3 linked regions of the Arabidopsis thaliana genome follow. The protein of the gene in region 2 interacts with the protein of the main gene of each other region in a biochemical or structural test. Each region holds a gene or a part of one and is shown on either strand. Other genes may lie near its edges. The genes, in order: CPK16, ACS7 and XBAT32.

Region 1 (11,241 bases), on a different chromosome or scaffold from region 2:
ACGTGGCACAACCACCCAGAATCTCTGGGTTTGCTCTAATTACAACCAATTCAATGGTTTTGGACCAACTCGACACATCGAGTCAACTCGCTACCAGCACTGATCGGTTTCCCAATTCCGTCCACCGTAACTGCCGTATCCAGCCGTTAACGGCCGGCTCCGAAGAAGAGTCCTCCGATCATAAACGGCGCGTTTCTCGGGATCCGAAAGCGTGCAATACGCTGCGTGGATCTTCATGAAATCGTCCGCCGACGAGTTATCCCGACTATTTCTCGCTACATCGGGATGACAGATCCTGGCTAGTCGCCGGTAAGCTGATTTGATCTCTTGACTCGTCGAGCCGACGGGAATTTCAAGGATCTCGTAGAGAGACGCGGTTGCTGAAAATCGCTGCGGGATTTGGCGTAATCTCGGTAGATCTTCGGCGCAGGTGTAGGACGCGGTGGTTGTAGAAAGCGACGGCGAGATCCGGGAAATGCGTGACGGTGGTGAAGTAGAAGAGAACGACGGAGAAGAAGAAGAAGAAGAAGAGAGAAATGGAGTAGCGAAGAAGGTTGGGGAAGAAGAAAGCATCGTGAAACGACGGCGTTTTTGTTTGTCTTTTGGTTTAAGTTCCGATTTGGGTTTTGTGATGCAGTGTGATTTGAGATGAGAAATTAGAAAGGTTTATTTATAGGGGAAGAAGTGATTAGTACGTATAACGTTTAGTTAGCTTTTAAATAATTGAAGATTAGGCAGATTAATGTATCTTGTCCGGTTAAGCAAAATCGAACCGGGTTGGGTCAGTGTGTTTTCGGATCTTGAGAAAGCTGAGTCAGACTAAAAGGCTTATCCACAGTTGTAAATAATGGGAGAAGTGAGATAAGATTCAACGAACGAACGAACTTGAGAGTGGCAATGAAGTTATTATTGTCATCTACCAAATTTTTCTATTTTTGGTATCATATAACAAAACTTGATAACATTATTATTCACATTGTTATTATTTGTTTTCTTGTTTTGGTACTCATGAAACTTAAAACATTCGATTAAATGTTATCCCTAAGCGAATATCCGGAAGAAATCGGTAAATATAGTTGTATTACTGATCTACTTTGTTTCAATCGGATAGTTACTTATTAACTAAAGTTGTAACTATTATTAACTAATATGAAATATCACCCATACTGTTGGAAAGATCAATAAAAATATGAAAAGTTAAAAGGACAACGATGTTTCATATTTTGATACCAAAAAGATACATTCATTTTCCATTCGGTATCTTTTTAACCATTCAGTGTAATTTAAAGATACATAAAATGTAAACAGACACTATAGAATCATGATACAATATGTATGAAATATATGGACTAAATAAATATATGGACTTCTTTTTTTCTTTTGTGTCTTCTGAGATTTTTATTGTTAAAGGTTGTTTATTGTTACAACAAGAGGCCTTGCATAATTAGCTTTTAGAAGTTTAGTGTTACAAATAATTACACTAACCACCAAACAATTAGTCTGATTAGTAATCAAAAGGGAGAAGGATCCCCTCAACCATCAACTAAAATATATGGACTTTACAATTTAGGGACATCGGTCTAAAATCTATATATAAATTTGTTTCATATCGTGTTAAATAATGAAAACCAGATATTTTATTTAAAACTTTAATTTTCTAGCGCTATATATACATATATTTAAATTTATATATTCTTATTATATTTATCTTATTCTTTTCTATGCATTTTAGAGATATATTATTAAGTATAGGTTTATGTTTACATATGTATATACTAATATACATTATAGAACATACAAATATCTCATAGCAAAAAAAATCTAAACAAATATCTAAACTTTGTAACATTAATTAGTGTGTTTTTAGTTTTTTTTTTTTTAAGACGGAAAATGTAGTTTACTATCATTTGGCTATCTCTCTTTTGATAGTCCACTTAAACCTAACTTGATCATTCAAACTTCTAAACACCAAAAAAAGTACATACAAACATGGTTTAGGCCTTTACGTGTACCATCTCTCTCAAGTCTCACCCTAATACCTAAAAGCACTCTTTCCACACTATAATAAAACAAGCCAAATGCAATGCACTTTTCTATTGATAATTCTAATTTCTTCGTTTCTTTTGTTAAATGTATAATTGTAATGCACTTTTCTATTAATAATTAAAATTTCTAAACACCAAAAATAGTATATAAACGTGGTTGTGTGTGCTATCTCCTCTTATCCTAACTTCCTATTATATAAAACGCGCTATTTAGTCTTGTCACAACTATTTAATACAAGCCTAATGCAATGCGTTTTTCTATTGATAGATAATAACGAATTTCTTCATTTCCACGTCATAATAATCAGAATCTTACTAGTATTTAAGTCTACATCTAGCTACAAATGACTACAAAACAAAATTTTAACAAACTTTTTATTTGAAACACTATTAACTTTTTTTTCTTCTATTCATAACTTACATATGAATAGACCTATAAGACTATAATGAACATCCATATAACATATTCATAACACATGTCAGTTAAATCAATCATAATTCACAAACCTGTGGTTACACACTCTGATTGATCATAGGTATACACAATACAAAAACTCATCAACTACATTGTGCTAATTGACTATACGAATATCGATTTCTTTTGCCGTTGCTTATGAAAGTTTATAGAAATATGTTACAACAACACATTACTACACTTGAATCCCCATTTTTCTTTCTATATAAGGGATCAAAACTTGTCCAGACTTTGTAGATTTGATTCTCTTTATCCCTCTCCAAAATATTGTAGAATTTCTTAGACCTTGCGAGAAATAAGATAACCAGGAGGGCTTCTAACATTTCTTGATTTGATACTTGCAGTTCTCAAAAGTCTACGAAACTCTTGGAGACTGATTTTACCATCATTGTCAATGTCTGCTTCTTCAAGAAGTGGCTCAATGGACCCTTTCAAGCCAGTATGCTGCAAAAACAAAAACATATAAAACAGAACTCATTAGTAATGTCACATTAATTGATTAAAAAGCATATAATAGTGTATACCATTCGAAGTTCCTCTGCTGTTATAAATCCATCTCCATCTATGTCGAATTTTTCAAATGCTGCTCTTGATCTCTGTTGCCACTTCTCGGAATCGTGTTCCTCTAATTGGTTTACGTGTAGCGCAGCGGCGACAAACTCGCCAAAGTCCACGAATCCATCTGTGTTGCTATCAATCTGCATAAATGCAACACAATTAAGAGAATTTAGATTGAGTAGTATCATCATCATTAGTATTAACCTAAATTTACATGCATACCGCTTGAAGAATCTCGGCAACTCTTGCATCCTTAAGCTTCCAAGGATGATCTTTCGCTAGAGCCTATATATATAACAAGAACTGATGTCAGGCTTAGTATTTCCTGATCAATTTTGCTAGTGATTGAGGTATAGTTTTGTCTTCATTTTTACCTGCCTCATCTCTTCAAGGCTAATGACACCATTCTTGTCAACATCAATCGCATCAAACTGGTCTCGAAGATCAGCCAACTCTTCCTCATCAAGTGTCGTTGCAAGAGCCTAGACCAAAAAGCATAACTCATTTAATAAAAACAAACACATCAAGAAACTCAAATGAAACACAAATCTCTCTTCTTGATTACCCTTAAAGCGAATTGCTTAAGGCGGCTAAATTTCACAAACTGACGCATGTTGTTCAGAACAGATATGTCTATGGGAATCTCAGATGCATCTCCTCCTTCTCTAACCCATGGATGTGCTGCAACCAAGAAAATCCACAATCCTTACAGAAAGATCAGAAAAGATAAGAACAAAATGATTTAAAATGGTGTCAAAACGCTTACATAGTGCTTGTGCAGCTGTTAATCGCGCTCTCGGGTCTTTTACTAACAACTTCTTGACAAAATCTTTGGCGCTGTTGCTAATGGTTGGCCACGGTTTTCTTCTGAAATCAGGTTTGTTCTTCAAAACCTATGTTTATAAACACATCTTCATGATTAGAGATTTACGATTACTGATGAATTTTTACTTCAGGGAAACTACACAAACCTCCTTGAAGATACCGTCTTCAGTCTTATCCCAGAATGGTCGTCTCCCGCAGAGAAGAATGTAACTGATTACACCAATACTCCACACATCTGATTCAGGTCCCGACCTACGTTTTAACACTTCAGGTGCTACATAGTATGCACTCCCAACAATATCATGAAACTTTTTGCCTACATTGTTACATAATGGTTAGATCAAAGAAGTGATATGTCAAGAAAAACTTTAAATCACTTTGCTACTAACCTGGCTTTATGAAGTCAGATAAACCGAAATCAGTAGCTTTTAGAGGCGAATCTTCTTCGGTTGATTTGAACAGAAAATTCTGTTTGAGAAGATGATTAGTAAAAAACAATACTTGTGAATAAAACCAACTATACACATTCAGAAACATGATGATGGAGTAATTAAGCTACCTCTGGTTTCATATCTCGGTGAACCAAACCGCGTAAATGACACTCAGCCGCAACTTTCAGCATTTGTCTCACCACCACGGCCGCGTCTCTCTCGCTATAACGGCTATCCTTCCTGGAAACAAGCAACAACAATAGCTTAATTACTCAAAAAGTAATAAGACTCTAAAATTTTAGTAACACACATGTAAACGTATTACTAAAGTTACCTGGCTAAAATACGATCAAGTAATTCACCACCCTCGCATAACCTAGAGAACAATATATCATCAATGGAAAAACTAATTAGCAACAGAGAAGTTTTCGCCCTTTGCCTTTCTTGCATTACAAGAAAAGAAAAACACACGACCTAAAAGGCTTTTTACTTACTCCATAACTATATAAACAGAGTTCTTGTCCTCGAAGGCATTATAAAACCGAACCACATTTTCATGACCAGTTAAAGCTTGTAATATCTTCACCTCTCTCTTTACATCTTCCACAGCTATCGGAATTGTCATCTACCCAACAAAAATCAAATCAAGAAACGCAAGAATCCGAATATATTTTAAATATATAAAATAATCTTTGTGCTCCAAAATCTGAAGAATCTTAAATAAAATAAAACTCAATGATTAGAAAAAGACAGCAAAAATGATTGATTCATCATCATACCTTGGCCTTATCGATCTTCTTGACGGCGACACGATCACCGGTTTTTTTATCGGTAGCGACATATGTATAACCAAATTGACCATGTCCAAGCAATTTTCCAATGGTGTAACGGTGATCAAAATCTTTAGCGTACCCAAAATCTACACGCTTACCGTAGGGGATCGTTTCTCCATGTCTCCTACCGTTATTGCTTATAACTTTCTCTCTCACTTTCCCGTGCGGTGGCGTATGCCGCGTCGGCGTTTTCTTAGCCGTTGCATTGCGTCGCGGTTGCGTTCTATGATCCTTTTGGATCGTAACGGCCATGAAGGAACATGGAGATCGCGGTGGTCTGGATTTAACAACCGTGAGAGGAGGATGTGGGTGGGGATTCCGGCTACTGCGGTTGTGGCCGGAGGATTTGGCGGCGGAGGAGAAACAGAGACCCATGAGTTTTTTTGTGGGATTTCGGTTTCTTAGACCCTACGCAATGAGGATGTTTTCTTAGGGGATTTGTGAGGCATTAATGAATAGGAAATGAGGTTGCCATCGAAACAGCATTGCCAGAGGGAGGGAGAGAGAGAGATATGGAGAAGGAGAAGCTTCGATATGCGTTGTGTCAAGAAATAGACTTTTCTCGGGTGAAACTTTTTTTTTTTTTTCCATTTTGCAAAATAAATTTTCTTTTTGGGTGTAGGAAATTAAAGAATTTCAGGTTATAAAGTATTTGAATAAAATTATATATATTGTGCTTAGATGAGAAATTTTAAAACTGATTAATGAAAAAGTGGATCATCCAAATATCCAAGTAAATGTAACAAGCAGATTATTTGATAACAATATGTTTTTTTAATATTTTTGTTGAGCAGATTATTTGATAACAATATGTTTTTTTAATATTTTTGTTGGTTAACGATTGTTGAAGTTGATATCTATGAATGGTGTACCGGAACAAAATAGTAGTGATGCGACTACATATCGTCATATAGTTGGTACATGTGAGTATGCAATACATATTACATTTAGTTTGTATAATTGGCTATATATTTCTAATTTTGACATGTGTGGCCAAAATATTATATTAGATCAAATAGAGGAGATCAATTTTATCAGGTTTTCAGCTCTAGAATTTGTAAAGACAAATTCAATATATTCAAGATGTGTAGAGAGTATAGAAAGTGATTCATGAGTTTGTACAAGAGAGAGATCAAAGTTGCTAGTTGTCATCATTATAAGCGTCTTTCAATGCAATGCAAGCTGCTTATAAGAAGCTTCTGCACGAGCTTCCTCCAACTTTGCTGAGAGCTCTTTCATGAAAGGTGTGCTTATTCCATGGCTGATCCGCAGAATGTCAAATGCCTTAATCAATGAACTCACCGCCTCTTTGGTTTCCCCCAGCAACCTGCAACATCACAATTATACCTTTTTTATCCGCAGAATATGATAGTAACCGACACCATGTTATTGCACTCAGACTCAGATTCACGTAGAAAGTTAAAATATGAATGATAATTTTTTACAGGTAAACGAATGTTTCTTTCCACAGAGATTCTAACTTAGGGATATCTTGAAGGCTTATTAGCCAAGTTCCGCCTAACACTAGCCAATCTCTACGTGTTCCCACTTCCCTGACTGAAAAAGTCACAGTAGAATAAGAGTCTCCAACACTGAGAACATGTAGCTTTGATAGTTGAGGGAAAACACTTATTATTTGGTCTTAAGGATTTTGACCGGAGAATTAAATAGTCGTGATATAGAGCATTAATCTGTCTTCAAATTCTAGTTCAGTTTCCGCAGCTCAAAATCTATCAAAATATAAACTAGAGAAAGCAAAGAAGCTTTGATACCATTCGAGTTTTCCTTGGGTATAGAACTGCAGTCCAATCAAAGGATGGGTTGCCGGATATACTCCTGCAATTTTATAAACAAGGTAAGCACAAGTAATAACCACCAAAAGAATTTGAATGATTTTATAATTATTATGTAGATGTTTCTGTTTAAGGTATAATTAGCAGCCATTAGTGCCAGTACAGTTAGCTCTGATACTGCAGGCAATAAGTTCCTACGGTAATTATAAGTAAATGTATCTATACAAAACTCTTAAGAGCTTCGTACTTATGTTCAAGATATAAATCCCACACCTAGATCTATATACTAGAAGGTATCCTAAAGAAAAGAAAAATATTGATCGAACATGCGTCAAGGAGCGAGCAACGTAATAATCAAGATGAAGTAAACATACTTTGGTAAACAGGGACTATTAGTCTGCAGTAATTCAAAGCTTCTCTCCAGATTTCTACGTCCATTAGCATCTGCAAAAGAATGTGTAACGGCAAGCTTTGAGAAACCATATCTGTCTCGTCTTCAAAACTCTGTAAAACTTCCAAAAGTCCTAAAGATACGTACCTTGAGAAGTTTTTCACGGGTTCTCATTAAAGGGATGGAGAAAGAATGGTAAAGCTTAACTTGTAGTTTCTCAATTGTCTTATATAGTTCAATAGCGGCTTGTTTATCTGAAAATGATCAAAGATTTTCTTAGACAACTTGCAACACAGCTCAATTTAACGAAGATCAGTTAATCTTGTTCAGACATGTAAATGCAGGTATTGAGGAAGCAAAGGCAACAGATACCTTCTGCGGAAGGAGATGTAGGAGCCTTCTCTGAAACTGTTTTGAGATCACTTGCTAACTTTTTAACCTCTTCCTTGCTCCTAAGAAGCAAGCATTTCTGGCAAACGAAGCCTTTTTCTTCTGCAAAAGTAAACAAATGAGGACTGGAGGGATCAAGAAATGTTCTTGGATACAAACTACCTAAGTTAAATCTTAACATACCAGGATCACGGAGTAAGAAACCGGTGCATTTCTCATTGGCACACCGATAGCCTTCCAATATTGCACTTTCTTCAATATCATGAGGTTTTCCCTTAAGTATCAAAAAATGATGGTACAGGTTGTAAACAAAATATAGAATTAACTCCATTCGTTGATAAGTGGGAGAATTAGCGACTGCTTACAAAGTTACTGCAACGGGCACACTGACAGTGGAAGAGGTATTGTTCTTTCAGAGACTTCTGCCGAGTCAGAGTGCTTCCAGCGGTTTCAATATAACTGATAGTTATCTGACCAAAGACAAAAGGATCTAACAGCTATATGTCCGTGTGCTACTAGCAATTACGAAAGACGAGAGACGAAACAAAGCAAAAACTACCTCTGAATCCTTTGATATGTTATCCATCGCCCGAACAACAGCCATCTGCTCCTCAAACACTAAAACCGCATTGGGAGAGCAGCTACAGAGCAAAAGATTTAGGCAGGAAACAAAGTGATTAAAGAACACAAAGAAAAAGCATTTACCTGTGATTAATGATGGAAACCAATGGAAACAATCCAATCCCTTGAGGTCTCAATTCGCTATCACAAATGCTATGAGCATTGCATGAGAACTGTGTTCAGTAGAAATGAAAGTGGCTTAAGTAATTATCCCTAAACAACATTCCAATAAAGACGAATACAAAAAATCCCGGGACCACATCACCAACCTTTGAAAAGTTCTCGGCGATCTCTCTTAGGTCAACACTAGGAAATTGAAGAATCAAGTTCACAAGATTAGCCATCTGTGCATACAACAACATCTGCTTTTCATCAATCTCAGACATGTCTAACATATAAAGGTTAAAGAATACACATTTCTAGCGGTAAAGAGATCATCAATTTCACAAAGCTATAAGGCACACATAGAGAGGATACGGGACACCAAAGCCTCCACCAAACTATAATTGTCTGTCGTCGTAATTGGCAGGACCTGGACAAGATAAAGCACATTAAGAATTTAGCATTCATAGACTGCTATCAATATGACACAAATAACCAATGAATCAGCCTTCTTCTCCATATTTAGCAGCCAAAAACAAAATATGGATGTATCTAGACTTCTACATAGCTGATGATAACCTTTTCATTTTGCAAATTCCTCTTGATGTAAAGTCTAACCATCAGACGTATTGTAGGAGTAACAAACTTCCGTTTCTCCTTCTCAAGTCTAGTGAGAGCTTTGCATTCATCGCGATGTAACTTCCACTCTGACTTCTGAAAGGAATCACAACAAACAACAAATCTTAGAATATGAATCAATCATCAACTGAATTTCTCCAGAGAGGACTCATATCAGATATACCTGGCAAGAGCTCCCACAGTACCAAACCACTTGACAAGCAGAACATTTCTTAAGGTTATTGGTCTTGAAACATCCGTCACATCTTGATTCCGAGGATGTATTATTCGGAACACATATATATGGCTTTTGGCTTAGAATCACTTCTCCTGGAAGAAAACACAGGAATCAGAATAAGTCTCAGACGAACAAAACCCTAAACCCCAGCGAGAGAGAAACGAACGAACCTGGACGAAAATCTCTGGCAGTGAATAGAGAGCGGCCTTTCTGTGGGAGATTCGAAACGCCTAAGCAGCGATCTTGCAGAAATCTCTGCAAATCCGCCATTAGTGAAGCTTCCATTGGAACTTACGCGAGGTTTCGAGAACAACGGTAACTTTGAATTTGAGTCCCAAATCAAATCTCAAGTTTACAACAAATTAGGGTCGGTTTTGGTCAGCCTCGCTTTTAAACCCGGACCGCGAGTTCTTCTTTTTTTTCCCAGGTTTTGACGGAAATTTGATTATTTACATTTGCATCCCCTTTTCTTATTTTCCACAATTTGACGGAAGTTTGATTAGTTACATTTAGATCCATTTTCTAATTTTATAAATTCTGGTTGTTAATTTTTCAGTTTCGTTGGTCACTGAAAACAACTGATTGCATTTTGGAGTAATCAATTTAAAGTTTGAAAAGTTCAAAAGTATACTTTATAACACAGAAAAAGTTCAATAGTAAAAATAAACTCTCTGTTCTCTTTCATAGTAGGTGAAATAAAGATCTCGCGTCGCCGTTAATCAATCGCCGTCCCAGATTTCTTTTGGGCTCAAGGACTTCTCTCTCAGCTGTTTTCATCTGAGCGGAGCTTCTACCGGAGATATTAACTTTTTCGGTCCGGTTAAAACAAACTTTTACAAAGTGCTCTGTTTTTGTTCTGTCATCTGCTTGCTGAAGTTTTCATGGATAAAGACTTGGATAAAGCTATTCAAAACATGTCTCTTGAAGATAATCAACCTCTGATTCTCTCAAATCTTCCGCAGTTTTCCTCTATTGAACGCAATAGCTGTAGTATTCTGGGAAGATTCTTAAATCCAGAAAATCAACGGATGTCTAACTGGATTTTAGACATGCCTCGTATTTGGCGTTTATCTAATCGTGTTAGAGGTGTGGCTCTTTCGAAAGAGCGGTTTCAATTTTTCTTTAAATATGAGGAAGACTTAGAAGAAATCTTGAAGACTGGAGTGTGGACACAAGATGATTGGGCAGTTGTTATGCAAAAATGGATAGAGAAACCACCTGATGACTATCTGAGGTTTCTCCCAATTTGGGTTAGAATCAGAAATATTCCCGTTAACTATTATACTGAAGACACGATTAAGGAGATTGCGGGATGTTTAGGGAAAGTGATGCAGGTTGTCATGGATCCTGAAAAATCACAGGTTCAAGATTATGTTCGAGTTCAGTTCTATTTTCTGTAGCCAATCCTCTTCGTAACAATAAAGAGGTTCAACTTCCTTCAGGTGAACTTGTTCTCATTTCTTTTGATTATGAGAGGATTAGGAAAAGGTGTTTCCACTGTCAACGATTAACTCATGATAAAAACAAATGTTCTATGAAGATTTCTGAACCTATAAATCTTCATGTCAAGAGATCTTCACCCGAAGGTAACTCGTTAGAACGTCTTTCAAAGTTTCAAGTTCCTTTACCTTCTGAAGTATCAGACTCGAAACTAATAAGCGAGGCTATGATAACAACGGATATACCAGTCTCTGGTTTTGCTTCTACTCTTCGAGATGATAAGGTTTTTGAAGACCTTGCTGATTTAGAAGTTTTAACTGGTTTCACAACAGGCTATGGTGAGGCTAGTACCTCGACTGCAGGTTTTCAACATCATTTAATGCAAGAGTTCTCTTCTTCTGCTTCAAGGAAAGGCAAATCACAGAGAAAATGGTCAATGAAGAAGAGAAACAAATCATCTGATTCAATGCCTCAATTTGCT
Region 2 (10,078 bases):
TAGCATTGGGTTGGAAAATCCTAACGACCGCGACACACGTGTGGATGAGGTTTTTTATTCTTCACATTTTTGATTCTAAGAAGTAAGATTGAATTTGAACATTTACTATCAGAATACATAAGGGTAGATAAAAAAAAATTCGTTTAGTAGGCAAATCAATCACATTTGTAAATTTACGTACCAAAGAAAAACAAAAGAGAAAGTAAATGGCCTCATAATTCTTGAAAGAAGTCGTGGGGTTTTGATTGTATTTTGCATCATCGTGCGTTTAGATTAGATTCGGCATTAGTTATGAATGAAAAGGCTATATTTGATTCGTTAAACTTGCACTGTCTGTATGAAAAATGCTATTTTTATTTGAAAATATCATGTTTTTGCATGTTGTTGTTGACAAACGTACAAAAAAAAAAACTTTCTTATTATACGAAAGTTTGATATAAGTCTATCTTTGCACCTGTCACAAAACTTTTGGTACCAGTTGTCACAAAATTACAAATAAATTATTGAATCTTTTGACCATTACTATAAAATACACGAACGTACTAAAGTCAAAAGTATTCCCGTGCAAAGCTTTTGGAACTAAATATATAAGAGGCACCAAAATTCGAAGACGCCTATCACGTAGCCGGTTTTTGAAATGTATCATAATTAATCGGTTAAGGAAACTGGTTAGAATAAATGTGTATCTGTTTTATAATGTTATTGAGATTAATGATCAATTCATGCTAAAATTAACAAGAAGAAAAGGTAACTAGGTTTGACCCAAAACTTCGAGTACAAGAAATTGTATTAGATACGTAGATAATGACATGAGCATGTATAAAGTCAAAAGTAGTAAAGTACAAAGACATAATGAAGCATGCAAAATTAAGAGACTAAAATGTCAAATCGGTGATTAATTTAAAAGGATTATGCATGCAAAGTCTACTAGTCTTACATTCTTAAATTTCCTTGACGCTTTCGAAACTCAATTTAATAAGCTTAATTAAGGGGGGTTTCCTTTGGAAGGACTAGTCAAATCAAATACTACTTCTCCTAATTAGCTGTAAGTTGAAGTATTATAACATTAATTTTATACATAGCTATAAGCTATGTAAGTCAAAGTATGTACGTATATGTTTATTATTTGTGCATGACATAACGAAAGCAATAAATACTCATAACATAAAAAAACTAACTAAGTCAAAGTATATATATGATATGGATTTATAAAAATACGTATAAATTTGGAAATGTTGGTGCAATTGAAAAATATTCAGAATTCAATTGTAAATTTAGAGTTCGCCAGGTTCAACTTTACCTATATACTATAGTCCTGACTTTCGATCTAGTGATTTATCTAAAGCAAGTTTTTAATATAAAAAAAATGATGTATTAAACATGATTGGTTTAGTTCTAGGTGCATGATGTAAGAAATGTCTATAGTTCTGTTGCATGCAACTTCTATACCATAGATACCATTCCGGCATTCCCTGTCATTATTGTATAGATGAACTCATTCCAAATACAATACTGTATATTTATACACTTTTTAGAAAAAAATATGTGTGTTGAATACATGTAACTATAATTTGCATTATTTATATTATTTTAGTAGAGACCGTTGACAATGGTCCATTGTCTTTGCACTTAAATTGATTTGTTTTTATTCAACCAAGTGGTATACGACCTCGACTTGGCCAAGAAAACGAAATAACTTAGAGACTTTAGCTAGGAATCAACCATTTGTTTAAAATTTAATCATTCAAATTTCGTTATTGAAAATGAATATCTGGTAGACCAAATTTTAAAAATCGCCCGAATGATATCACAACAAATATATTTCTCATTGTAACGTACGGAAAACTTGAATGTGCACTTCTTTTATAAGCTGATTTGTTTGTAATTTAGATATTATATTTCGAGTTATATGATTAGTTAAAGGTTTCTATTATGTTAATCTAGAACAAACATCAAAATGTTTTATTTAAGAATATTTGTTACTGCAATTAATTATTTGGTTATCAAAATCCTAAAATTATACATGTAACCCTAAATACAATATAATAGTTGTTTCAATATTTTTTTGTCATAAATCGTCATAAATACCTCACTAATTGGTAGCCACACAAAACTAGTTCGATCTCATCGAAACCGTGTGTGTATTCGGATAACTAGTATTAAGAGAAGAAAAAGAACACATTTCTTGTTAGAGTTGTACAGTGACCAAGTCAAAAAAAGACCCGACCACATAACAACACTAACCTCTTTACAGAAAATTACAACAACAATGACATAACCATATTGAAATAAAATTATTTAGACCCATTTTCTGTATACGACAACAAATATTAACTTGACAAAAAAGTCAACAAATATTACATACAGATGTATAACCTTCAAGAACAATAAGTAAATCTGTATCTACTGTCTATAATATATTTGCGAGGTGTATCATTATCTTAACAATATAAATATATTTGTTTTTGCCGTACTTAAGTAATAGGGATAATTTTCCGATAGAGATGTTTCTGTAATGCTTTATATTTTAAAAAATTCGTTTATAACAATAAATATTACAAATCAACCTTGATGAACATGAAATTAACTTGCTTTGTCCAAGCAAGAAAACAAACAATAATATCTAGAAAAGAGAAACAAATCAAAACCCATTTTACATCAATGGGTTTAAATTAATTATCTTCTCTTTCCTAAAAAATTAATTACCCCTCCCCCATATATTTAACCACCAAAAAAACGGATTTACTTTACTTTTTTTTTTAACATTTCAAAACCTCCTTCGTCGGTCCATGAACTCATGTATTCTCTTCAACGCAATCTCCAAAGTGTTCTCACTCATATTAGCAAAACAAACCCTAAACCATCCGACCTCCGAGCAGTGGCACGAAGATCCCGGAGATATATTCAGGTTCAGCTCCTTTAAGATCACATCCCAAAGCTGGAGCTCGCCGTCTTTAGTTTTCTTTTCGAGCAAGAAACCCAAATTCATCCAACAAAATAGCCCTGCGTTCCCTTTCAAACACTCAATCCCTGCCTTCTTAAGCCCTTCCACAATGGTATCGTACCGTCTTCTAAGTCTTTCCCGGTTTATCCTAATGTACTTCTCCGTAAACTCCTCATCCGACAACATAGAAGCCAGCATATGTTGTGTCTGAGACGAGACAAGCGTGAAGCTCGACATCCTTCTCGCTGTCCGAACAACATTATCGTTGTACGAGTATATAGTTCCCACGCGGAAACCAGGAAGACCAAGATCCTTGGAGAGACTGTAGACGATGTGAACTCGTTCCTTTACTGACACGTCATCTATGTTTTCTACGATCTCGGCAACGCTTGTGAACTCGGAGGCATGGAAGACGGAGCCGGAGTAGATCTCGTCTGAGACCAAGTGAATATTCTTGCGTACGCAGAAGTCAAGGAGATCTTCTAGAACCTTCTTTTGGACCGTCGCCCCTAATGGGTTCGATGGGTTGGTTATGAGCACTCCTCGGACTCTAATGTTCGCGTCACGAGCCGTTTGGTACGCCGACTCTAGCGCCTCCGGGGTTATCTGGAAATGGTTCGAGCTGTCGCAGTGGATGGGTACTATTTTCACTCCGGTTCTCCATCTCAAATCTCTATCGAATCTGTAATGAAATAAATAAACGGTTCGGTAAATACAATGCATTAAATATCGAAAATAAAAGATTTGCTAGATTATAACTTTCTTTTAAATGGTGTTAGTTAGTTGCAGCTATTTCTTTGTAGTTTATCTTCATATATACGAATGACCATATTTCTTAATTTAATTCATTATATATCTTATTATAAAGTGTGACGTACCCTGGATAATACGGTGTGGGAACTAGAAGGGCGTCGTTAGGATCGGCGAGAATGAAAGTTAAGAGTTCGTTAGCGGCGGTGGCTCCGGCGGTGAGGACGATCCGGTCAGGATCAAATCTAGCTTTGCCTCCTCGAATCTGTTCCATGAAACTAGCCATGGCTTGTCTGAAAGTTTTGAGACCGTGGTAGTCTTGAAACAATGCGTTTTCACGGAACCCAGGAGCTCCTTTTGATCCCCACATCGAACCTTCTGGATTCTTCTTCTCCAAGTAAGTTTCAAGAAGATCAAACGAGACCTGTTTGTAGGAAAAAAATGATCGAAAGAGACAATTAATACATTATCGCAATATATAACAATTAATAAAAAAAAGTTGACTATATGAAAGATTTTATTACCTGATTCTCAGCGAGACCCATTTGGATGACACCGGAAGGGTTATGAGATTCGTCGTAAGGATTTTCGTCGTAAGCTTTCCAGCCGGCGAAGTACGGTGAGTCTTCGCCGTGAGTGTCTGAAACCGCCACTCGAGAAAGCTCGACGTTGTTGTTGTTTGATGATCTCTCCATCATTAGAGGAAGACCCATTTTTTTCTTAGAGCTTCGAACCTGACACGTGACACGTGACAGCTCTAAAAACACAATCGGAGAGAGAGAGGGAGAGAGGTTGAGAGAAAGAGAAGTGTGTTGGAGTTAAACATTTGTGTGAATGAAGGAGTATATATAGCAGACGTGACCAAGAGGAAAGTCTTTGACAAGTTCAATTTTAATATTAGTTTACTTACATACAGAGAAGAAGTTTGTGTAAAGAATAAGGAAGATTCGATTGTGGAAAAATACGGTGTCATTGACCTGCAAATGGATGAATAGATAAGAGTGTTTGGCTATTTTTATTTTTGTTTTTATCTTGAAACTTCTCGGTGGTTCATCTTTAGGAGATCGCCAGTTCTATAAAACACTGATTATCAATTTTTAAACGTAATGTTGTTTAGACTTTAGTCTGCTAAAAATAGTTTAGTTTCTATTATTGTGTACGAGTTTAAATGTGTTTTAATGTTGTTTGTTTTTGGAAAACTTTCTAAATATTTTGGTTTAGTCGGCTGCTACGATTTAAATCCAAAAGGGTCACTAATGCGTTTTAGATAATAGTCTCGTAATTAATAATCCTTCACTAATACAATATTGTTACACAGAAAAAAAGATTCTCGTTTACCTATTTTTCACTATTTGATATTCTTACAGAATGGTCACTAAGAAAACTGTAAAGTACTTTTGTTTTTTCTTAGAGACCATAACAAAAGGTAGTTACTTTTTTTCTTTGAGAATACAAATTTACGTAAACAAAGAGTCATCAGTACTAGTATGTCGTTTTTAACTACATACAGTTTCTATATAAATTATACGCGTCTGTTTTACATTATGTGTGTTAAATATAATAATAGGAGCTGGAATAAGTAACTAATCAAATTTATTGGGTATACTAAACTCCATAGATGAAAGAAATGAGGAAACAACTAAATTAAATGTTCTGATTCGATGTTTTAAGCAAAATCAAAGATCACCTTTTGCCAAAATCAATTTCGGACAACTGTTAGCTTATGTCTTCTTCTTCCTTCTCTCTTGTTGATACTTATTTTTTCTACTTAACATTTTTTAATTTATTCATTTATTTCCATAACTTTAGTTATGATCTATAGCCCAAATACGGTGGTTGAAATTCCGATTATATGGATTTGGCATCATTAAAAAAATGAGAAATTTACATTATACGAGAGGAGTGGGTGGGTGGCTATCCATTTACACTTTATTATATCTAGACAAAAAAAATTATGATAAAAATCTATACCATATTTCTGGACTAGTATTAGAAATTAGGAAATTCGATCTTTTGCTGATTACCATGAGAACAATTCGTCTCTAATTAAGTATGACAATATTTACGAACCAGAAGTCAGATGGATTATTATAGTTTCTTCGCGTGAGTTAATATGATTATATTTCGATAAAAAAAGAAGTAATATGATTATATTTAGATTTATACAAATAAAAACCTATGGTAATCGAACAAAATTACATTTCTCAAATACTGAGTTGTTGAGCTAACCGGTCAGATTGTAGGTCATTGCATCGGTATGATTTTTATTTGTTAGTAACATATATATGAAGAAAGAATTTCTATATTTTATCTAAAAGGTGATATATCTATAAAAATTAGTTGTGGGAAACAGTTTTATATGTTAATTAGAATTAATTTTGGCCGTATTAATTAATACGATTACCATAGGTTTCTAATTTTCCCCTAGTGGTCAAAGTATGCTCCCTAATGGGTGATAATTATGCTCCCTATTAATGGCGGTACGTACGGCTAATCGAAACCTTTGTTTAATTAAGGCAGAATTTAATTCTCTCCTACTCATGAACCCGCTTACACATGCTACTGTATAAATCTTTACCATATAGTACACTTTAACACATGACGATAAACAAAACAAGCTACCTTAACATATTTTTAATCTAACAAAATTAAAAAAGAGAAAATACTTTTACCACTTTTCATGTACACACAAAAAAAAACCCCACTAGGTTTTAGTATGAATATATAAGTCCATACTGTATTTTAAGATTTTTAAAAATATTTCCCATGACGATATATTATTTTAAAACTTACATGTCAATATATAAATACGTTTATACATATATCTAAATCTTATTAATTAGTTCTATTTTTCCTATATGTAATTAAAACTCTTATAAAGCTCATCCAATTTTATATATTAATAATATAAGATGTGTGTGCACAAAAAAAACAAATTTGAAGCAAAAAAAGAGAGAGGATATTTGGAAAGATCTAATAGTGGTTAAAAGTCCAACTACGTGACACATATACATACAATCATACGATAAGATTATGATTCCAATTTGTGAACAATATATGTTCATCAAGAATATAAGTTCTTGGAGGATCTTAGGTGACCCCACATATCGCAATTAATAGTGAGTTATGAAATCAAAAATTTAAAACTTTAAAAAGAGGAGAACTAATTAACAGAAAAAAACTTTTTTTTTGTCGACGTTTTAACAAAGATTAAAAGCACGAGTTTCTCATATCTATATTAAGTTAATAGAGTGTTATTGATTCCATTGCGTGTTGGTTACAATTCGTTTATAGCACTGGTTACTAATTAAAGTACTCTAAGGAGATTTTACTTTTTTTCCAAACTAAATGCCTGCTTTTATTACTAGAACCATCATAGCATAATAGTTGTATGGTCGCAATTTTGCCCGCATGCTGAGATTAAGATTTTGTGTTAAGATTGGCTGTTTGTATGTTTGGACTTAGAACATCAGCCTAAATTAAAGGGTATTAATCGACATAACAATAGGACCCAAATGAAAATTAATAAATTTAGGTAGAAGATAACGAAAACAATGTAAACTTATAGATGTAGATGCACGTATATTGGAGATATACACAGTTATACACACGTGTTCTTACATATGGATGTATATTCGTATTTACGTAATACTAATAGACAATTGTAATTTGCATGTGATCGAACCCACCAGCTTAAGATTCGGAAATAAAACTGTAGATTGAATCTCAGTACATGATCAACACAAAGGGTAATGCTAATCTATATGTTTTATATGGTCTTATAAATAGAAATTACAATAACCTAGACTTTGAAGAAAAAAAACTAATATACTATGTGATAAATTTTTAGGATTAGTGTGAATATCTATATATATATTGCAAAATTTAATCTTTATTTCAACTGTAAAATATATATTGAGAAGACGGGATGGTTAGAGTGTTATAGCTAGCGTACATGGAGCCAAACTCCGATAATTAAAGCGTTTTAAACGTAATGCATCACATATACATGTGTGTATATACCACAACGATTTTAGTTTGCAGAGTGAAAAATTATCATTTTCTAAGTTGAATTAAATGATCTATATCATCCTCGAAAGACATTGTAACGATCCACATTTAGAAACGTGATTTATTTACACATTAATTGTTTGTTAAGTTTTGAAAACAAACATGTTAGATGCAAGCTTTTTGGGGAGTTAATGAATTGGTTGATTTCTTCTAGTTTAATGTCATAGATTGGCTTCAAATCATGCTGGATTATGTCTTCGACAAACGTGACAATCCAATGGATTGTTTACAATTTTGTGTACTTTCATAGGAACATAGAATCAAATTTAGTCACCAATTGATTGATTGGTTCTCATAAGTGTATAAGAAATTGCAATCAATTACTAATTCTAACACGAAATCTTCAAGAAGAAGTTCATGATATCTTACGGAGCAATCATTGATGTATGTACTAATTTAAATACTAATAGCTCGACTATTTTAGTATAAATTTAAAATAAACAAAGAAGCAAGTTGTAATAGAGAACGTGAAAGAGAAGTGGAGTTTGGGGACTGTTTGTGCGGCTAATTAGGAGAGCACCTTCATGAAAATATACGAGACATGCATCAAACGATATTGCGATCTATAATCTTTGTTATTAATTAAGTATATTATCTAGTTATATAGCTATGAGTCTATGAACTTTTTCTGTTAATGTTATAAACTATTGTTCGTAATATGTGGATTTCACTAATTAATGTGTGTGGAGTGTCTATTTATTTTCGACCATTGGACTATTTTCATTAGATAACCAATGCACCTACTTTAAAAAGTACTTACACAGCTTAAGTAAAGCTTTTTTAAGAAAACTATAAGTTCTACTGATATTTCTTGTCATTCACTTACACATACATTGAAACCCATTGTACAGTAGGTCAATACTGTATCATATGCTAATTCTAAAAGTTGTTTTAAGAAGATTTTTAACGTGATTTATAGCTAGGTTTCCAGAGGTCCCACTTTCAAGGAGTTGGGGATGAGCTACATGAATGCAAGTGTTTAGCTCGAGCCATAGACAATAGATTGTTACACATGGTAACTATATCCGAAAGGTTGATATACCAGCAATTGGAGGATATTTCATTATCAAGCAATTGAGAATACTTATTTCTTAGGCAAATCATATAGTGCGTTAGGTAATGACATCTTAGAAGGAAATAAATTATACCAAGAAGATTCCAATTTGTTTTTGTTTAATTCCGAGGATTGGTTTTAACTTGGTTGTTCTTGCTTTGATATAGGTTACGTTCCCGGTTATAAGGATTTACATAATTTGTTGAGTGTACAATCAAACGAAAAGGTATATATATCGACTTTGCTAAAATCGCACTGACATACTAGTATACTACATATATAATTAATATAGTTTTTAACATGTTAACAATTTCACTACTAGAGGGTACGGTGTCCATTACTCGTTTAAAAGCATTCATAACCAGTCAAAAGAAATAAAAAGATCAAGACAAAACCATGAGATAATTGTAGCAACTAGCAACCAAACTGAGAAGTATGATGATCCTAATCCCTAATGATTTGCTGTCAGCAAAAATATTTTTTATAAATGATTTTGTGAAAAGTCGTATCTTCCACAGTCTCATGAGACCAATGAAAAGAGGCCACGAGATACATGTTTCACTCTTCTTGTCATTTGTCAGAAATAGATTAACTAAACATCTTCAGTTGGTAAGTCGTATCATATATCCTTCCAACCAAACCTTCTGATTCCACCGTATATAGTTTGCTATATCTTTATCAATAATGCGGCGACTCCTAGCTTTTTTTTTTTTTCTTTTTTTTTCTTTTTTTTAGCGATATTGATATTCGAGATTTTTTTATTTATTATTTATTTTAAAGATTGATATCCGAGAAGTTTATGAATAACCTAATACTTTTGTGATTTAAAATGTTTTAGAAGTAAAACGTAAACATTTTTTGTTAGGATATGCATGCAGTGTAGAGTTTTTTTTTTTTTTTACGTCGACCTACACTTCATGGTCTATTTATGCATATCGTCAGTTCAAAACGTATAATTTCAAAATGATTAAAATTGCTTTTAAAATACTCATTAATTAACGGGAAGAAGTAAAGAATTATCTCGACTTTGGCATGGATAATAATCATACGAGCCTTATCATTTGGCGCGAGCGTGACCAGCGTGTGAACACATAAACTTGGCTAGATAGAAATATTTTTATGTATTCATGAACTTGTATTTATTTAAAGAGGTTCTTGATTTCTCCCTTAACTGTTCATAGTTAGGAGAAGGATTAACAATAATATATTATGTTGGAGCAATATAATGTGCCTAAATTTGTTTAGCGAAAAGGCAAATT
Region 3 (10,866 bases), on a different chromosome or scaffold from region 2:
ATATATGATTTAAATTGTAATACGACAGCATATTGGAATTGTAGAAATTGAAAATAAAACTGCTACATGATAGAATGACATATACAATTAAGTGAAGAAAGTTAAGAGATTAAATATTGATACTATAATTTGTTGAATGATGTGAACAGTCATGGATATGGATGCAACAAGCAATGCACCCGGAATTGAGCTACGAAGGCTTTTTCCGCAAGAAACTTGTAAAACCCTTTTGGCCATTTCGTTTGGTTTTGATTTATCAAATCAACAATATTGGTTTTCTAAACCAAAACAATAATGGTTTTGTAGAAACTTCCATGGAAAATTACGCCGTCGATAAAGAAATGGTGGAAAGAGATAAAGGCGAAACGAAAGGAAGAAGTGAGGCTACAGAGAGCTGAAGTCCACGCCGCCGTGTCATTGGCTGGTCTTGCCGCTGCTCTCGCCGCCGTGGCTTCAGAGAACGCTGGAAAAGATGGTGGAAACGGTCGACCTAGCACGAGGGAGACTGCTGTGGCTTCTGCTGCGGCTGTGGTGGCGGCACAATGTGCGCAAATGGCAGAGACAATGGGAGCAAACAGAGACCAGCTCAGCACGATGATTGGTTCAGCCATGACCGGGACAAGTGTTAGTGAGATACTCACTCTCACTGCCTCAGCTACAACTTGTAAGAAGATTGTTTTTTGTTTTTGTTTCTATAAGAATGCTCTGTTTCTGAGACATTGGTGCTTGGTAAAATAAGCGTTGAGAGGTGCCGCGACGCTGAAAGCAAGAAGAGGTTGCAAGATTAATAGATTGAATGGCTCTGCACCTGTGTTGCCTATTGAAGACTCTTCTTATTTGCCTCCTGAATTCGATAAGAACACATCTGTTCTTGCTAAGGGAACAGATCTCTTCGTCGAGACACCAGATGGTATATAAATCCTCTGTTTTTCTTGTTGAACTCCTTTGTTTTGTAGAGAGACTAAAGAGATCTTTGGATTAAAACAGGGGATTTCAAGGCTAGGACGGTTTCTATGGTCTTAAACAAAGATGGAAAGGTCCTAAACTTGGCTCTAATCCCTCTTACTCTTAACCAATGACGTCTACTAATCGATGATCTTGTGTTTGATCTCCACAGGTGATTCTTAAAATGAAGAAACATAATCTACTCAGGACTAAGAAAGAAAGTATGCAGCTAGCTTCTCAATCTTTTTTTTTGTTTTAGGTTACTTAACCTTCAAGCTATGATTTAAAACATTGTTTTGTATGTGTTTTGTGTTTAGGTATTGTGACGAATGTTCATGTGGAACTTTACAAAGATTCAGATAGCGAAGACAACAACATAGAGGACACTTGTTATCTCATTGTCCTGAGGACGAACAGAGGAGCTATCAAGTTAGACATGGCCGACGATTACAATCGTTACAAGACATGGGTCACAACGATCCAACACATGCTCACTCTCTCTTCTTCCTCCTTAAGTACAAATTACGCTCTCACTTTCTACAACAAAAACTAAAAAAATTCATCGCCTTGTTCATCGTTTTTCTCTGTGTAATTTTACTTTATCCCCTCCTCTGTTTTCTTATGTCTCTCTCGCTTGATCTTATAATGTAATGCATAAACAACTTGAGAACTTACGTTCTTTTAATTAGACTCCACATACATCAGCTAGCTTTTTAAGTAAATTAACCTGAGATTTGAGAAGCAAGAGATGCTGAATTGACTTGAGAAACAAGGCTTCCTCGTCTTCGATCTCTTCACAGCCTGGTACAATCCTGCGAAGGATCCCGAGGTTTCTTTGCATACAAGTTTCTCGAAACTTGGGTTTCTCCTTTTGTCCTTTGCGACCGCGGTGCCTAACCTTCTTACACTTCACCATCTTCATCACTTCTTGCACTCCAAGCTAAGATATAAAGCCATATATATAGAGAAACTGTAAAGATGACAACGATATGGAAGGAAACAAGTTGTCTGAAAAATGTTTTGACAGAGTAAAAAGAGACAAGGAACCCATATCAAGGCCATCACCACTGAACCTGTCTCTGCCAATCCAATCTTGCAATGTCTAATGTTCAATGTATCTGTTGTGGTCCTCATTTATGCATACTTTATGCCATTATTGTTGTTTCAATTCCAACATGGTTCGTTTGGTAGGATTTAACCAATACATGTACACGTATATGAGTTGATGGCAAAAGAAAATGGGCCGGACGGTTATAAGAATACAGGCTTCACGTTGACCCAATTAGGCCTATCTAGAGTTTAATGCCATTAACTTCCCAGTCAAGAAATCAGCAGCCACTTAGGCCTCATTTTGACTCGACATCATCAAGATCGGTTAACATGAACGACGAATCGGAGTCTTGGGAATTGTCACCATCAGATTCATGCACAAGGACAATAGTGGAAGACGAAGCAGTGCCAGTGAGGCCAAGGAGGAGGAGGTTGTCCCTGCAGAGAGGACATGTTGAGTTTGTGAGGAGCCACGTGTCGATGCACTCCACATGGAATGCATGGCTGCATTTTGGTAAGAGCCGGAGCTCGTCTTCGGCTGTGAACTCTCTGAGACAAACGGCGCAATCAGAGAGGTCGTGTCGAAGACCAATCATGGTCTTGTAATGTAACAAGGGCAATGCATCAATGAATGATTGGTCAATTTCTGCGTCATGGAGATTAAACCGTGTTTGATACCGACCTTGCAGAGCAGTAGAACTCTCTGTAATGCCATCATAGGCGTCGTCAAGTCGAGTTTGGGGTCTATGTAAGAATTTGACCAGAAGGTGAATCAAAGCAGCTACAAAGAAGATGATGGAGAGGAGAGTGATGTAGAGAAGTACGATGGGACTAATCATGCATATCAGATCAAAGTCTTTGTCTGTTGAAGAAGAATATGAAAATGAAATCGATGAAACAGAGAGAAATGAATCACTTTTCTGATCCATGGTTTTCTTGAGAAAGATTCAAGAGGAAGGAGATGGGGAAATAAGTGAAAGAAGATAAAAAAAGTGAATAATAGGAAGACTCTGTTATTGTAACCAAAAAAAGTAAAGAAACAAAACGTTGACGTTTCAGTGCAAAGTGAGTTGTGGTTTTCCTAAATATAGAAGTCAAGTATTCATAGATTTCCCAATACAGATGTATTGTTGTTCAAAAGCAACGTGGTTTCTTTGACATTAGACTAACAGAGCAGTAACGGATTAACAAACAGAGGAGAAAAAATTAAAAGGATTCGTTTTTTTCTTCGTTAATCAAGACAATTGGGAATAACAAAACAAGCATCAAAGATATTGTTATATGAACGTAATGATCTTACGAACGAAAGACAGACACTTTAACAGAATCTGTTATAGATTTGTCAACGAGATGAAGAAAAAAAGTAGCCTGACAAAATTACAAGCATGCGTATTTGCAGAGGGCTATACCAAGAACAACATAAAAAGACTCAAGGGAAGCTGGAACAGTAGGTGCAAAATGAGGATGATGCAGTATGTCAGAGACATGAACCATATGAAGTTCCCTAAAGCTTGGAAATTCAAGTTTAAATTTAGCTTAGAGGAGATCAAAATGACAAAAAACAAGTTCTGTTGTGAGGTGGAATTCGAGAAAGCTGCAGTGCATGTTGTTTGAGAACTTGAAGAAACTTTTGGGACATAGGCTTATGCAAGATGTTTCTCGCGAAATTGAAGCAGTGCATGGGAAGGAATGAGAATTAATGTTCAAAAGTCTGGATCTGGCTTGTCAAAGCAGACTATGAAGCCAAACTATGAGTGTGTGTTAATGTCTATGGAGTTGGCCATTCAACAAAGGATATCAGAAAGTCAAAATTGAGCTGGTTATACTCTAGACTTTTCAGGAACTTCACTTTCCATTGCAGCTATTTTGAAAATGTGTACAGAAGGTGAGGATATATGGTTACATTTGGAGGACGACTTGATGAGACATTCTAGACTACTTCACATCTCTCTCTTACAAAACACTAGGACAGTGAGGGTGTTGTGTTTGTGGTTCCAACATGTGCACATGCACCTACTTGATTGTGTGATGTGGACTCGAGAGAACATAGATGTGGAATAGTGGACATGTTTCAGACTGAATTACACAACTCATTTTTGGTGTGGAGAAGTTCCACATAAAGCACAAGTGGAGATTTAAGCTTGTACATCCAGTTTGGGAGTTGGAGTTTAGTTTGGATAGTGTTAACTCTGGACAAAGAAACTCTGCTACAAGTTCCAAAGTACAAGACAAATTGTCAACTAAAGAATTTTCTGTCAATTTACAGCAACTGGCCACAGTTTTGCACAATTGTGAGACACAAATTAGTGATTCTACAGAAAGTGAGATTGAAGATAGCTTGGGTCATCTTTAAAATCAAGTAATATTTGTTGAGAGTTTTTTTGATAAATATATTTGCTGAGAGTTGGCATGATCATTCTGATTTGCTAATGTTAAAATTTGAAGTCATTAATGTTATAGGTTTGCTAATGCAAATGCAATTATAAGCATGACGTGACACGACCCACATGCTCCTCCACATTTCATTATTATACACTTGTTTTTCCACTAATGTCATGTTACTTTTGGAGACTTGCTAATTGAATCATTATTTGTTGGCACAAAAAGAACCTATATTTATTCAATTACGCAGTATAGTAAGATTATTTATTTAATTATATGTAATAAAGGAGAAAGCTTTCTTATGGTGTGATGAAGAATGTCTTTTTTTTTTCATTGTTAGAGAATCTTTATAATCATTAAGATTTTGGTTAAAACAAAAAAACGCGCGAATTCCGGCTATTGGTTTATCGAAACCTCTGGCTACAACGTTGGCTTTGTCATATTTTTTTTTTGTTCAAATAATTAAAAGTCAATTAATTAGTGTCACCATCACAAAATATTAAGAGATCCTCCACACACAATAAAAAATTTAGAACAATTCTTTTCCATTTTTGGTTTAAAAATAAAGTAATCACCAATTTGTTATTATTGTTTGTTATTTTCCTTAATCAATTGACCAAAAAAAAAATCCCACAACTTAATTTCACCATTCTTTTTGATGTTCTCTGTATTACAATTGTCAGAGAAGTTTTCTGGATGATCTTTCCTCTAAAGTTTAAAGCTTTTTTTGGTCAATTCTTTTAAAGTTTTGATTTTTTTTTGGTTAATTCTTTAAAGTTTCTTTCTTTCTTAAAGAGGGATCATTATGATGATGATGATGATGATCTGATCTGTACATAAGAGAATTAAAGAACACCAACAACAACAAAAACAGAGGAAGAAAATAAAAACCAAATTTTTCTTGTTGCAATCATTTGAAATTAAATTCAATTCTTCGATTCTTCCGAGCTGGTTCTCGAATTGGGTTTGCTGCAAATTGTGAATCCAATAAAATTTGTTCGTGTTGTTGTGTTGATGGTGATTTGTTAGGGTTGATCCGATCAAAATTTCAATTTTGTATCGTAAAACGATGAGGTTTCTAAGCCTCGTCGGAAACTCATTCGGTTGTTCTGCGTCCGGCGAACGCTTAGTATCAGCGGCCAGAGACGGTGATTTACAGGAAGCTAAAGCTCTCTTAGATTACAATCCAAGACTCGCTCGTTACTCTACTTTTGGCGTTCGTAACTCTCCTCTTCATTACTCCGCCGCTCAAGGCCACCACGAGGTAACTGTAATTACTTGAAAGATCAATACTTTGTAAGATTAGAGATTCTAAAGTTCTGACTTTTATGGTGATTGGTGATTTGGGTTTTGTTTATCTTCAGATAGTTTCTCTGTTGGTGGAATCAGGAGTTGATATTAATCTCCGGAACTACCGTGGACAGGTGTTGTGATTAGTGTCTTTTTGTTCTTTGCATTATTGATTGGTTTTGAAGTAGTCTGAATACAAGAAATTTTTGGAAACAGACGGCTTTGATGCAAGCTTGTCAACATGGTCATTGGGAGGTTGTTTTGATTCTGATTCTTTTTGGTGCTAATGTAAGACTTTGATCAACTCTTCTGACTGATTGTGATTTAAAAATATGTCAGGGATATTGGAACAATGATGATTGTGTTTCTTGATTGTTCGGGTTTTAGATTCACAGATCAGATTACTTAAATGGTGGTACTGCTTTACACCTTGCGGCTTTAAATGGTCACCCTCGGTGTATCAGGATCTTGCTTTCGGAGTATATACCAAGTGTTCCTAATTGCTGGAGCCTTTTAAAGAATAAGAAAACTTCAGTTGCTGGATTCGATTCTAGGTCAAAAGTGTTTTTTGTAAAGAATTGAGGTAATGCTGTAGTCACTTGATGATGATTAGTTGAATGTGTTCTTTGGATGTTGTGGTTGTAGTGTTCTTCACGAAGTGATCAACAGAGCAGCAGATGGTGGAATCACACCTCTTCATGTGGCGGCTTTGAACGGACATATAGAGACGGTGCAGTTACTCTTGGATTTGGGAGCTTCGGTTACTCAGGTCACTGTGGAAGATGGAACTACTATAGATCTTATAGGTTACTATCATATGCTCTAATTGATTAACTTTGACAATGAGTGAAGAGATTCTTTATGTGAAAGACTTAATTTTGTTTTTCGCTCCGGCTCTTTGATTTTATATATTGAAGGTGCTGGGAGTACAGCTCTCCATTATGCTTCATGTGGTGGAAACACGCAGTGTTGCCAGGTATACATGCTTAACTAGACAATCATGATGCTTCTGTTATGTTTCGTTTAAAGTTCACATATGAATTCATTTGGCATTTGTTTTTCTCAGCTTTTGATCAGTAAGGGTGCTTGTTTAGCTGCCGTAAACTCCAACGGGTATTAGATCACTCTATTTCTCAGCATGCTAAATCCAATCAACCAGTTTGATATAGACCTCAATGTCTTAATTCGCTTCATGTTTTGGTTTTAGATGGACACCAATGATGGTAGCTCGTTCATGGCACCGAAACTGGCTGGAAGAAATCCTGAACCCAACAACAGAACAACCACAACTCCATTTGCCAAATGTCCCCTCTCCTTTCCTCTGCCTTCCTTTAATGAGCATTGTCAATATTGCTCAGTATGTAAACTTTACACCTAACTGAAACACCCTATATGATCGCATGATCTCTGTGGCTGATTGGTCTTTTTTCGTTTGTGGATTTCAGAGAATGCGGCTGGCGAGAAAACGATTGTCTGACTCCATGTCGTGACCCTTGTGCCGTTTGTTTGGAAAGAAAATGCACTGTGGCAGCAGATGGTAATGTACCACTTTCACTACCGAAAATGATCTTTGCTTAAAACATTGAATTGATTGTTGTGTGTGACATAACAGGATGTGCTCATGAGTTCTGCACAAACTGTGCATTATACCTAAGCACCACAAGCATAACATCGTCAAAGACCTCAAACGTCACACCAGGCTCTGTCCCGTGTCCTCTCTGTCGCAATGGCATTGTATCTTTCACCAAACTTCCCCATACAACGGCAACAACAAGAACATCAACATCATCAAGAACAAGCATCTCCTTGTCCTTCTGCACTTGCTCCTCTGATGTCTTAGACACAGCTCTCCTAACTAACCCTCACTACAGTTGTAAACCGGTTGTGTCAAGAACGGGTTCTCGAACTCCACAATCCGCTAGATCATCAGCGTTTCGGTCTCTTAGCTGCCGCCGGTTTCCTCCAAGTCTCTGCCTTGGTGGCTCAGATGTTGATGAACCTCGAAGCCGGTTAATTGGTGGATCATATTCAAGATCCGGTGTAGGATTCAGGCGATCAACGTCGCAGGTTGAAGGGAAACGTTCTTGGTTTTCTGCACTTAACCATTGTGTTACAACCGGTGGAAGTGCTTGCTAACTCAAACTCAATCCTCTTTTTTTTCACCTTTTTTATAAAATTTTTGATCCCAGTTTTTTTGGGATTAAAAATGTGCTAATTGATTCTGTGAATGGTGTGGTGATTATTCATTTTGTAATAAGTGAAAATGTTGTAATACAAATAATTAATTTGGCCTTGCCATTACATTGAAATGGTGTGTATATAAAATTATGTTTGAGAGTGAATTTCTTGCGTAGCCATTAGCATCGTTAAGGTATCACTTATCAAACACTTAACAGATAAACGAAGATTACATATATTTAGATAGACGTTTCAGAGGAACTAATAACTGAGAAATTATGGGATTAGTAGTGAATTATACATAAAGCTCAGGAGGAATAGAAACAACAAACCAATACAAAATAAAATACAAAAATGAAGAGAAGATAAAAGAAAATAAAAGAACAATACAAAACTAATAAGCCTTGCAAGGTCAAGAAAAATCTTCTAAATTATAGAAGAACTTTCTGATTTAGTAGAAACAAAACTATTTTTTGTTTTTTTCTGTTTTCATAGAGAAAAAAAAAAGCTCAGCGAGGATAATGCCAATGGAACACTAATGTCCAAGAAATCTTCTTCTCCGTGAGATAGTCACACGTTCGAAAGTACAACCATGATGTAGTGGAGAAGATAGAAAAAGTTGAAAGAGAGAAACGATCATCATTATGATCATAAATATCATGATGATTATGATGATGATCATCATGATCCTAATCAAGAAGAAGAGGAATGATATATATGATGCTTTTGCTCTGAAGTGATGATGTGAGAGGGCAGGTGAAGTTTGTGTTTATATAGGGAAATAAGAGGATAAAATTAATGGAAGCTAGACCAGTACTATTTAAAACAAAAAAAAAACATTAATGGAAGCCATAGAAATCGTAAAACAAAATCAACATTAATAAAAATATACATACATTTACAAAAAGGTTATATAAACAATTATTTAATAATCAAAAAGTGTGTAAATTCCAAATTTAATTCTATGAATGAAGTATATGTAGAGATAAAAAAAATGCAAGAACATGCAAAGCTCTCTATTAATCTACATGTTTTTTCTATTAATCTACTTTTACACGTTACATTGAAAAAGTAATGTGATTAATTCCACAAATAGTCAGAATCTAAGAAAAAAAAAATCACAACAAAATACGAGTGCCCATACAAAAGGATAGCTGAAGTTACACGTTAAATGAATTTCTAGTTGATAAGCACTTTGATAAGCACTCTGTTCAACATTCTTCAAGTCAGTTCTTAATGCTTCAAGTTAGTAGTTGTGTGCTTGTGAGTAAGAAAGCTAGAGGTAAAGAGGCTAAAAACCTCACACACTTTAAAAGCATAAAGACAGTATTTTGGGTAAATCATGCATATGCTCTAGATTTATAGTAGAAAATGAGAAAAAATCACATATTATGCTCCGAATTTAACATGATCGTATGAAAAATTCGAACAATTTTAATTTTAAAGAGGTTTTTGATAAAAAAAAAAAAAAGATCGTTTTTTGAGAAAAAAGTTTGGCTCGCTTTTTTTTATCAAGAATTGCTTCGGTTTTTAAGATTTTAGTTTTAGCTGAGACTGTTGGTTTATGCCACACTTTTTACCGTATGAATTACGAAATTTGGGGAGTTTCCCATTTGACCTTTAAAATTTCATCTGTCCTCTTTTCTTATCATTTAAGAAAAATTAGGGCTTCCCATTTTCAGAAAAATAAGTTAAGTTCAAAATTGAAACTGCCAAGCAATAGTCAATACTAAATTTTATATAAAGCTAGACAGGATATTCATTGGATTTGTGTTATGTCCTTCTCTACCCTCTCTCTCGTGTAGTAAATTAATAGTCAATACAAAACGCTCACCTCCCTCTCTCTTTTGGATATCAAACACATCAAATCACCTCCAAACTCAAAGCAAAAAAGATGAATAATTTTTCCTAAATAGATACATGTATAGTTTCGATTAAAACACACGTACGGTATAATTAGACAACTTACTTTACATTGTATATTTTTAATGAATTTGGTTAAGAGTTAAGACAATCTCGGAATCTCCAACTAAACAAGATGATATATTTGTTTAAAGGAAAAAAAAAAACAGTTTGATTGTATTTAATGGCGTTTTTATATGTAAGAGGAGAAGAAACAAAAAGCTGCAAATGTATAAATAGGTGTAATCATCACAAAACTATGGGATGTGACAATACATTGTCAAGCTTCTGTCTCTTTCTCTGTTTTCTCTCTGATGGGTTTTTAATTTCTTAATTATATGCAGAAACAGTGAAACAAAAGTAAGTTTTTCGAAATTGAAGAAGTGTAACATGCATGCATATTTACCAATTCTTCAACGTTCAGATTGTCTAAGTCAAAGAATCCCTTATACCAATATAGAAAGTGGGGCACGACGACTTTGATACTCCATATTTTTAATTCGGGTCAGAAAAAATACTAATTATTTTTGTCAACTCGGAAATAAACTTTATTTTTTGCAAAAACTTAGCAATATTATTCATGTAAGAGGTTTGGGAAAATTGCCAAAAAATAACACAAGAAACTACTGTTTCACTTTGCACTAAAAAAGAAAAGAAAAAAGGGTACAACTGTTCACTTACACCCTAAATAAGAAAACACGGTCGTTTTAAGATATACGTTCAAGTACTGTATTTTTTATAGTAAAGCGAATATGACAGAAATCTTTGACAGAGCCAGGCCTAATGTTAAAAACTCAGCCCAAAATAAAGCCCATATACGTGTTAACATTGTTTTTCTTTACAACCTTTTTAAAACGTCAAGGTCTCAACCATATTTTATTCTCTTGTCCTGATGTCGGCCCATACAGGCCCATATTTGTTTAATGAGTATACATGTCTTATGATTGGGCTTATTTGAAACCAGATTTTGAAACAAACCTATCACAAGTGACATGACCCATTTTTATATCATTTATTTGTACAAATTTTCTATTTTGGGAGTCTCTCTAGTACAAAGTTTTTCAAAGCTCTCTGCAAATATATCCGTGTTTATTGCCAATTCCAGTATCAAAGCTCTCT

The links.
Region 1: of the proteins of ACS7 (region 2) and CPK16, one has a biochemical effect on the other in vitro, tested with the Arabidopsis thaliana proteins (one study listed by BioGRID).
Region 3: of the proteins of ACS7 (region 2) and XBAT32, one has a biochemical effect on the other in vitro, tested with the Arabidopsis thaliana proteins (one study listed by BioGRID).

What each region holds. Positions count from the first base shown.
Region 1 is NC_003071.7:7,767,086-7,778,326, forward strand, and holds CPK16 (calcium-dependent protein kinase 16), read right to left. Parts: upstream 5,698-11,241; 5' UTR 5,543-5,697; coding exon 5,114-5,542; intron 4,960-5,113; coding exon 4,829-4,959; intron 4,711-4,828; coding exon 4,669-4,710; intron 4,575-4,668; coding exon 4,463-4,574; intron 4,372-4,462; coding exon 4,293-4,371; intron 4,220-4,292; coding exon 4,050-4,219; intron 3,972-4,049; coding exon 3,845-3,971; intron 3,760-3,844; coding exon 3,644-3,759; intron 3,561-3,643; coding exon 3,453-3,560; intron 3,364-3,452; coding exon 3,301-3,363; intron 3,219-3,300; coding exon 3,045-3,218; intron 2,965-3,044; coding exon 2,800-2,964; 3' UTR 2,436-2,799; downstream 1-2,435. Other genes in the region: AT2G17880 (Chaperone DnaJ-domain superfamily protein), read right to left, coding at 91-573; SDG37 (SET domain group 37), read right to left, coding at 6,335-6,494, 6,940-7,003, 7,335-7,404, 7,499-7,605, 7,724-7,843, 7,925-8,015, 8,107-8,211, 8,301-8,382 and 6 more; AT2G17905 (Ta11-like non-LTR retrotransposon), read left to right, coding at 10,202-10,720. UniProt on the Arabidopsis thaliana protein: May play a role in signal transduction pathways that involve calcium as a second messenger.
Region 2 is NC_003075.7:13,269,636-13,279,713, reverse strand, and holds ACS7 (1-amino-cyclopropane-1-carboxylate synthase 7), read right to left. Parts: upstream 4,515-10,078; 5' UTR 4,408-4,514; coding exon 4,219-4,407; intron 4,119-4,218; coding exon 3,823-4,118; intron 3,627-3,822; coding exon 2,768-3,626; 3' UTR 2,526-2,767; downstream 1-2,525. UniProt on the Arabidopsis thaliana protein: 1-aminocyclopropane-1-carboxylate synthase (ACS) enzymes catalyze the conversion of S-adenosyl-L-methionine (SAM) into 1-aminocyclopropane-1-carboxylate (ACC), a direct precursor of ethylene.
Region 3 is NC_003076.8:23,391,726-23,402,591, reverse strand, and holds XBAT32 (uncharacterized protein), read left to right. Parts: upstream 1-4,941; 5' UTR 4,942-5,446; coding exon 5,447-5,641; intron 5,642-5,741; coding exon 5,742-5,801; intron 5,802-5,883; coding exon 5,884-5,955; intron 5,956-6,054; coding exon 6,055-6,221; intron 6,222-6,312; coding exon 6,313-6,473; intron 6,474-6,584; coding exon 6,585-6,643; intron 6,644-6,733; coding exon 6,734-6,780; intron 6,781-6,874; coding exon 6,875-7,024; intron 7,025-7,112; coding exon 7,113-7,204; intron 7,205-7,279; coding exon 7,280-7,803; 3' UTR 7,804-8,007; downstream 8,008-10,866. Other genes in the region: AT5G57770 (auxin canalization protein (DUF828)), read left to right, coding at 150-218, 307-664, 740-910, 988-1,037, 1,118-1,166, 1,263-1,498; AT5G57760 (uncharacterized protein), read right to left, coding at 1,631-1,867; AT5G57750 (RING/U-box superfamily protein), read right to left, coding at 2,292-2,924. UniProt on the Arabidopsis thaliana protein: E3 ubiquitin-protein ligase that mediates ubiquitination of ACC synthases (ACS). Negatively regulates ethylene biosynthesis probably via ubiquitin-dependent degradation of ACS4 and ACS7 enzymes.